Schizosaccharomyces pombe: one gene and its partner. The gene in region 1 interacts genetically with each later gene. Each region holds a gene or a part of one and is shown on either strand. Other genes may lie near its edges.

The links.
Region 2: of tif213 (region 1) and cwf16, changing one suppresses a phenotype caused by changing the other (phenotypic suppression), as found in Schizosaccharomyces pombe (one study listed by BioGRID).

What each region holds. Positions count from the first base shown.
Region 1 is NC_003423.3:2,185,644-2,189,812, reverse strand, and holds tif213 (translation initiation factor eIF2 gamma subunit tif213), read right to left. Parts: upstream 2,369-4,169; 5' UTR 2,102-2,368; coding exon 761-2,101; 3' UTR 679-760; downstream 1-678. Other genes in the region: rpl1102 (60S ribosomal protein uL5), read right to left, coding at 1-88. UniProt on the Schizosaccharomyces pombe protein: As a subunit of eukaryotic initiation factor 2 eIF2, involved in the early steps of protein synthesis.
Region 2 is NC_003424.3:1,488,037-1,492,011, forward strand, and holds cwf16 (splicing factor), read right to left. Parts: upstream 1,720-3,975; 5' UTR 1,547-1,719; coding exon 734-1,546; 3' UTR 574-733; downstream 1-573. Other genes in the region: F1-ATPase chaperone Atp12, read right to left, coding at 1-19; gpp74 (golgi phosphoprotein 3), read right to left, coding at 2,705-3,718.

The DNA of each region.
Region 1 (4,169 bases):
GACGATCACCAGATTCTCCCAAAGAAATGTTCAAGACAAGCTTGGAGATACGAAGCTCCTTCATGGGGTTTTGAGCCTTCTCTGCCATGGTGTTTGATGTAGGTAGCTCGTTTTGCGTCTCCTAGTGTTGTTTGCATTCGAAATTAACAGTCACTTGTTTAGGTTAGGGCTCTGAATAATGTCGTTGCCTTAGAGTTTGCTAATTGGGAAAAGATCAAAATCGCTTATTTGATAGAATTTTTGTATTCAAAGAATTGAATCGTTCACTTTCTTTAAATTTTCATATTTTTTTTTGTAGGCTTCCAAAAGTCTGGGAAGTGAAAGCATATTTTACAGATACATACTATGAATGAAATACCACAAAACGAAAGAGTCAAGTAAATAAGCATAATTGATTAGAATCAAATAATAGTAAATATAGATTTATGACTCTTCTATTTACTTATTGCTTTACTATAAGGAACTAGTACCATCAGGTGTACTAAATAGGTATAAATTCGCTGTAGAGTAAATGTTGAAAATAGTCTAACTAATTAATAATGGAAACATTAAATACTGCACAGAGATCCGAATGTATAAAATAGGGATGTAGATACGCATCTATTAGCACTGTGTATCAACTACATGATTCATCAACTGTACTAAAATCACACACCGTGTACGAGACATCGTTAAGTTTAACCGTAGACATTACCATTGTTTATTTTTTAAAAGTTAAAAAATGAGAATTCATCTTATACAATGTTTACAACGATAAAATCTAAACTTTTAGAGTCTTACCCTCAACCACCTTAGCCCAACCGATAAGCCGCCAGTGTTTTTCAATACGTCTGCTGAGAGCCACCTTTTCACCAATTTCGGTACATGCTGGGGCGGTAAGAAGGATCTTTGCCATATCTGCTTTAACCATCATAACACGGCCACCAGTGGAAGTGGAACCGATGTTGACCATCAACACTTCGTTTTTGGCAAGTTTTTGAACTTTAGTGGTGTTTTTATCACCACTCTTTACACCCAAAAGACGACGGAGCAAAAAGTAGTTAATTTCGAGCTCGGTATAAACTTCTGGAAGGTTGCCCTTGGAACCCAAAACTTGACCAACTAGACGATCGGCACGGCAAAGAGTAGGATCGACTGTTGTACCAACACCAATCAAACCACCAGGCACGGCTATTTTCAAATCGTTGTGTTCAGCGAATAGGGAGATAATACGGGAGAAAATAGGTTGGCATCTGATGCGGCCATCATCATCCTTTGTAACAATACCAGGACGAATTTCGATTTCATCATTTAAACGAAGAACGCCAGTCAAAATAGAACCACCAGCAACACCACCCTTAAGGTCATCAACTTCAGCACCAGGCTTGTTAACATCAAAAGAACGAATTACAATTAAACGGGGAGCAGTGGTAAAGTCACGGACAGGAATGGGAATTTTCTTAACAATATATTCGAGAATGGCATCGATGTTATATTTAAGTTGGGCAGAAATAGGGACTATAGGAGAGTTCTCAGCAACGGTACCCTTAATAAACTTCAAAATAGATTGATAGTGTTCCTCAGCAGCTGATTCGCGAATCAAATCCACTTTGTTCTGAAGGATGATTATGTGCTTTAACTGCATAATTTCGATGGCAGCCAAGTGTTCACTAGTTTGAGGTTGAGGACAGGACTCATTACCAGCAATCAGCAATAAGGCGGCGTCCATGACAGCGGCACCGTTCAGCATAGTAGCCATAAGAATATCGTGACCCGGGCAATCGACAAACGATACATGGCGAACCAAGTTCATCGGAGAATTACAAATTTCGCAAGGAGGGTGATCTTCCTTGTTGGAAGAGTAGGAACGGTAACATCCGGGTCTGGGACACTCTTCATTGGAACATTTGTAAATCTTAGCGTTAGCATAACCCAGCTTGATTGTGATATTACGCTCCAACTCATTTTTGAAACGAACCGTGTGCACACCGGAAATAGCTTTGACCACTGTACTCTTTCCGTGGGCTACGTGACCAATTGTACCAATATTGATCGTTGCCTGTCTAGATATAATAGCTGGGTGAATCGGTGACAATTCTGAAATATCAAGATTTTCCGCCATTTTTACAAGCAAATTATAGTAAATTTTGGTAAAATTTAGTTATTTAAAAAATTCCTTTCTTTTTTTGTTCAAAAAGTGGAACCGAATGTAGAAATTTTCAGAACAAAAAAACTTTTCTTTCGACTTGCTCGTAGGTGTTCTTGGACACTAGTACTACCCGAATCTTTTAAATTCTTCAAAAGGTAATTTACTTTTAATTCCACGAAATCAACTCGTTTTTGGCGTTTTGTACGCTTTTTGCGGTCGAAGTAGAAGTTGGCAAGTGGTAGGTGTAGTTTACAGGGCCAGGGGGATTTTTTTGATGCCTTCCCACCAAGAAAAATGGACTGTAATTAACAAAGCCATATATGTAAACGCTATAAGAACAATATTCATTATTATTATGATTTAAATATGTTAAATCCTTTTTCTAATGATCTTACAAGATGAAAAGCTAGTTTCAGTTTCTCATTTTTTAATTAGCAAGGAACTCCCGAAAATGCTTCAAAAGTTCTATAATAGTTATTTAATTAGACTGCAGTACTCAATTACTAAATATTCCTTTATTTTAGTCGCTAAAAAGTGTCATAATTTGTGGGAGTGTATATGGATAAGCCAAAACGCCCATTTTATTAAAAGGTAAAAGTCGATTTAAGCTTGGATTGCAATATTTATAATAATTATTTTCCTTAACTCTATGGGTTCGCCTAATTACAATTAACTGTCTGCTGTTCCTTCGAAAAAAAAAATAAAAAAATACAACCTGAATATGTCTTCTCAAGGTTCAAGCTTGCTTAGATTTTGAGATTGAAAATAAAACAGAGATTTCCTATTTGCATGTAATTTAAGGTCCATTTTCTAAACATTAAGAAGCTCATCGGTTTCACAATCGGGGTTACCTCTAGAATCTATTTGGGGCAATCTAATTTCAGTTAATTTCAATTGTAACTCCAAATCACTTTACTGAATTGTAAATCGGTTTACTGAATTGTTATTTCCAGTACATGGTCTCTCATAATTTTATTTATACTATCTATCTGGTTATGCAGCTCTTGGAAATTATTAAAACAAATGCCATAATTGCTGGATGTCATTTTTTTCTTTGGTCTTTTTTTTTTCATTTTTCTTACTCTATAGAATTTTTTTGTGCAGTTGACTTTCTTCAAAACGTTTTTCAACTTTTCTATATGCATATTTAATGACTAAATCAGCATGTAGAAATGGTAGAGTAATAAATTAATGAAAGTTATTAATTGACCATTTTTATTTTGTATTTTAATAATTTTTTTTTTCTAAAACCCGATCACTAGGAATTTGTTTACAAAAAAATGTTAATGATGATCCCCAAAACTTTTATCGGTAGCTTTTCCTTTCGGCTATCGAAGCAATTTATATACTGACATTGAAGTACATTCAATTTAAATCACACGCTTTTCCCTATTAATTGCAATAATTAAACCCATCATTTCCCAATATTTAAAAATTCAAGAAATATCAAACCCACTATGTACATTGTTATTTAGTTAAATGAATACCAAGTTTAGGTTGCACAGTCGTTTTTTGAGAATTTCATTTAACTATTACTGTTCACAATTTTTCGATGATTGTCACTATATGCAAATAATACAATTCCTACATTCTCGGTATTCTTCAGTGACGCAGAACAACGCTTAAAATAGTTGTTCGAATTTGGTTTCTGAGTAATGAAAGTGGAAAGAAGGTTATCAGTAGATTCTTTTCGTTAAACAGCTATATTTTTTTTAAATCTATTTAAATTATTTCCTTGATCATTTGTTTAATTCACTATAGTTACCTTATTGCTATTATTTACAAATATTTTTGTTAGACCCGTAGGTTTTTCCAAAGTAAGAAAAGTAAATTTGTGAACTTAATGCATTATAAAACTAGTAAAGTCAACTAACAATATTTTAAGTTAATTTTTTAAATTAATGAAATTATCTAATCTAGTGTTTGTTTACTTAAAAACTTTGAAGCGGTACTCATTATATATAAAATAATTAGCGAAATAAATTATCAAGTGATCTAGATAACCAAAATCGAGGCTTATTCAACATGGTAGTTAGCTCTT
Region 2 (3,975 bases), on another chromosome or scaffold:
ATTGTAAAGATCGAAGCATCTTACAAAAATAGAAAAAAAAGGGTATTCAAGGTGTCTATCTGAGACACTAAAAAATCTTTCGTACTTCAAACTGCCAAAATTTAATTTTTAATTATTGTTTAAGAGTTAATTATTATGATATACGTTTTTAGTTGGTGTTCTCCAAAATATTGGTTACTATGTAAGATGAGTCTAACAATATTTTGTCACAGGCATGATGAGAATAAGTTTTAATATTTTTTTCTAAAAGTAGTTTTTAATTAAGCAAGAAAAAACTCTTTTAAAATAAATTAATAGACGTTCCTATCATAGTTCCTAAACCGTTGTTTACGTTAGCCGCCTTGAATTTAGCTACGATTAAGACTACTTTTTGACAAACCGTAAATGTAAATTGATAAATTACAATTAGATACTCGGAAAATTAGAAGGAACCTTAAAAAAAATCAATTAACATGTGCTGTTAAAAACTTAAAGTTGAAGAATAGATACAAACAAAATAAAACCTTTCTATAAATGCTACGGTATTATTCTACATAACAAACTACATTTACTAATCGAATAATAAAAATTAGAACAGGATATTGACTATCAACTCGCGTTATGAAAATCCATCAAAAACTCATTAAATATTATTACAATAAAAACCTTGCGCTGGTACAAAAGAACATGTACATTTTTAATAGCTTAGCTATAAAAAATGCAAGTAATTAAAAAATTTAGCCATTTATAGACGTTATACCAAAACCTTTTTCTTCTCCATTTTCCTTTTTGCATATTTTGGAGGCTGAAAATTCGGTATATTGGAAGTGGCCAGCTTCTCAGAAACCAAATCTATAGGTTTGGGTAATTCTTTTTCAACCGTTGTTTCTGCATTCAATCTTCTTATAATTTCACCATCCTGAGACGAAAACAACGATTTAGCTTCACGATCAATTTCTTCTTCCTCAAATTTCCGCTTTTTGGACTCCTCTTCTTCAATTGATCCATATGCATCTTCCTTTAAGAGAGCGATTGCATCATCAATGTTAACTCGAGACCTTCGAGCGCTCTTTTCACGTAGTTCGTCGAGTGCATCACTAATTTGCATTTGTCGTTTAGTGTCTAATGTTTTTTGTTCTAATTTTTCCATTTCGTCCTCCTCAGGAATGTCATTGCGTTCAGCTAACTCATTTTCTTCATATTCTTGTAATCTTTTTTCATGCCACGGCTCATAATTCCTGGAAGCTCCACTCTCTGCTGCATAATCTGCATGTTTTGGATCGGTTATAAATGTTATTTCAGCAGCACACCTAGTGCAGCGAATATAAAACCTCAATATATCAATTGAAAAATATTTTTCGCCGGTTTTCTCCTTCCTAGCGTTAAACTTTTTTCCTTTATATATATACTCTCCACAAGTATGACAGCGCATTGAAAATGGAGTCATCAAACGAACAGTCAATTTCCCACCATTTGGTCCTTGAAACTTTTTCTTTTTCTTAGGAGGACGAATGGAAGGATCATAATCGGGCGGGATATACTTGTTAAGTACCTTTCGTTCAGACATTGTTGGAAACTATGAAAAAAAAATGAAATGAACGTACGAGAATTGCTTTACCAAATTCAAAAAAAAAGAATAAATTAAAGTAAGGAAAATTTAACCGTCCTTTTGGGTTGGAATTATTTGACTTTACAGATGAATTTGAAAATGCTAGTTTTATGTGGATATGCGCTTTTTGTAAGCGAATGGCAAAAGTACTAGTACTATCTGTAGTTCTTTGACACTCGATACGTCGCGGTAATAAATTGAATGCGCACATAGCACTACGTAAACATATTTAGTACCATCCTTATATTTCCTTATACAATACCTGAGCTGAGCTATCGAGACGTGAGCAAGCGTTGTTTGTCAATCTTACACCTTCCGGTGTTTTAAGAGTACTTTAGATTCCCTTATAAATTGTGTATTATTTAAATGCTTCTGATTAATTTTGACTGATCAGTCTCCATAGTACTTTACGCTTACAGCAATAGACAATTAATGGGGTTGTTGGCATTAATGGCAGGAATAGATGATTTATATGAACTTGGTTAAAAATCGCTGTATTTCAGCTTATGTTCGTCTTAGTAAAGTTGATAGCAATGATCATAAGAAAACACCTGCTATATTAATTTATCATATGTTCATTTAAGTAAAGCTTGTGGAAGAACCCAAGTTTAAAATGGTTTAAAAGATAACTGTATAGTAATTACACAATTGTCATTTTTCGTTAGTTTAATAACTAAAGCTTTGTGAAAAGAAAGACTGACTTATATGTACGTATGTAAATCATTAAAACGAGAAGAAAATAGCTAACGATGTCCGCAACTGAAAAGAATGAAAGCTGACCCGGGATATTCTGAACAAATCTTTTTTAGCAGACAATATCGAAATGGGATTGCCTCCATATCGAGATAAAGTGTTCAACTGGAGAGAGTATATGTGGAAATGGTACCACCAATTTAATGAAAATTCAACTAGATAATGAAGCACCGATTGTTCAAAGTACTATTCTTACAACAACGAACAATTTGATTGAATTGACTTCTTTTAAAATAATACTCCAATTAAAAACAAACAAATTAAGCCGACATTAGCGATATAGAAGTCGGTATACGTTTGTTCATTAGTCTGAGTTGGAAATAACATAACTCAAACAACACCAACGAGTGATATGCTTGGCTATCAAAGTAAAGAATCTAAATGAGTGAAAACTTGAAGAACAGCAGCGACTACCTCAATGAAAAGTAGTTGCTCTTCCTTCACAGAGGAAAGTTCTTCGGAAATTAGCTCAGGCAAGTTAGCGCCAACTGACGAAGAAGCATGAAGATCAAAAGGCCATTGCGAAAAGTCACAGAGAAGCTCGTCTACGCGAGAAAATGCTTTTTCACGATCTTCATAGTTTAAATTGTCAAGAGCGTTTTCAAGAACATTAGCAGCGTATGAGGAACAAGCAAGGGCAACAGTGCGAAGGCAACGAAAAGACAAATATTCTGGGAAAGAAGGTGAATTATCAATTTCAATTACTCGTGAAGTAAGAACAGAGACCACTCTTTTTTTAATGGAATCTTTAATGGAGGTATCGGCAATGGGATGAGTTGGCATGTCGAAAAGTAAGAAATTCTTCTTCTCATTTCTTAAAATCCCTTTGTCAACAAGGCCCTTTGCCAACCGTTCGCGTACTTGTCTTAATTGATATCCAATCTTCATCACATTCCACGTTTCACCACTCATCAAATCAATCCAAGAGGTTACAGACATGAGTTCGCTAGTATGTATCATTTTAATAGCTTCGTCTAAAAGAACCTCACCTGTAAGTTTTTCATCAACCAACTCCACTACACGATCCGCTAACGGAAAGCGTTTACGATTAACGTCTTTTTGCATACGCAACTTTCCACGAAATGCGAGCTCCATTAGAATACATCCCCGAAGAGAATAAGAAATGCTGTCATTCCAAAAAGAAAGATAACCTTGCTTGTCTTTTAGACCCAATAACAATACCTCCTCCATCAGTGTAAGCCTGGGTTGCTTTTCCCTTTCCGCGCCTTGTTCCAAATCCTTTGGATCAAAAGCGATTTTATGATCATCATCGTATCCCTCAAGATGACTTTTGGAATGAGAGACGCTCCTCATCTCTGGACGTTCTTCGTCCGAACTTGCGGCAGCAACCCTCCTTCGGGAAAGTCCACCTGACATTTCTTTGAATTTTATGCCTAAATACAAGAAATTTCTTGTTGTCTATATCAAATAATCAAGAAGATGAGAGAGATATGCAAAACGTTGAAAGCAAAAGTATGCAATACAGGAGTTTCGCTAAAGAAAGAAACGTTCAAACAAATGGGAAAACTTTTGATTAAAAATACCTTTTGCTTTTGTTTCCTCAGAACCTTGACGGCCAATTAATCCAACTTTTCGTTGGGATGCAAATTATTATAAATTGGTAGGTTGAACCA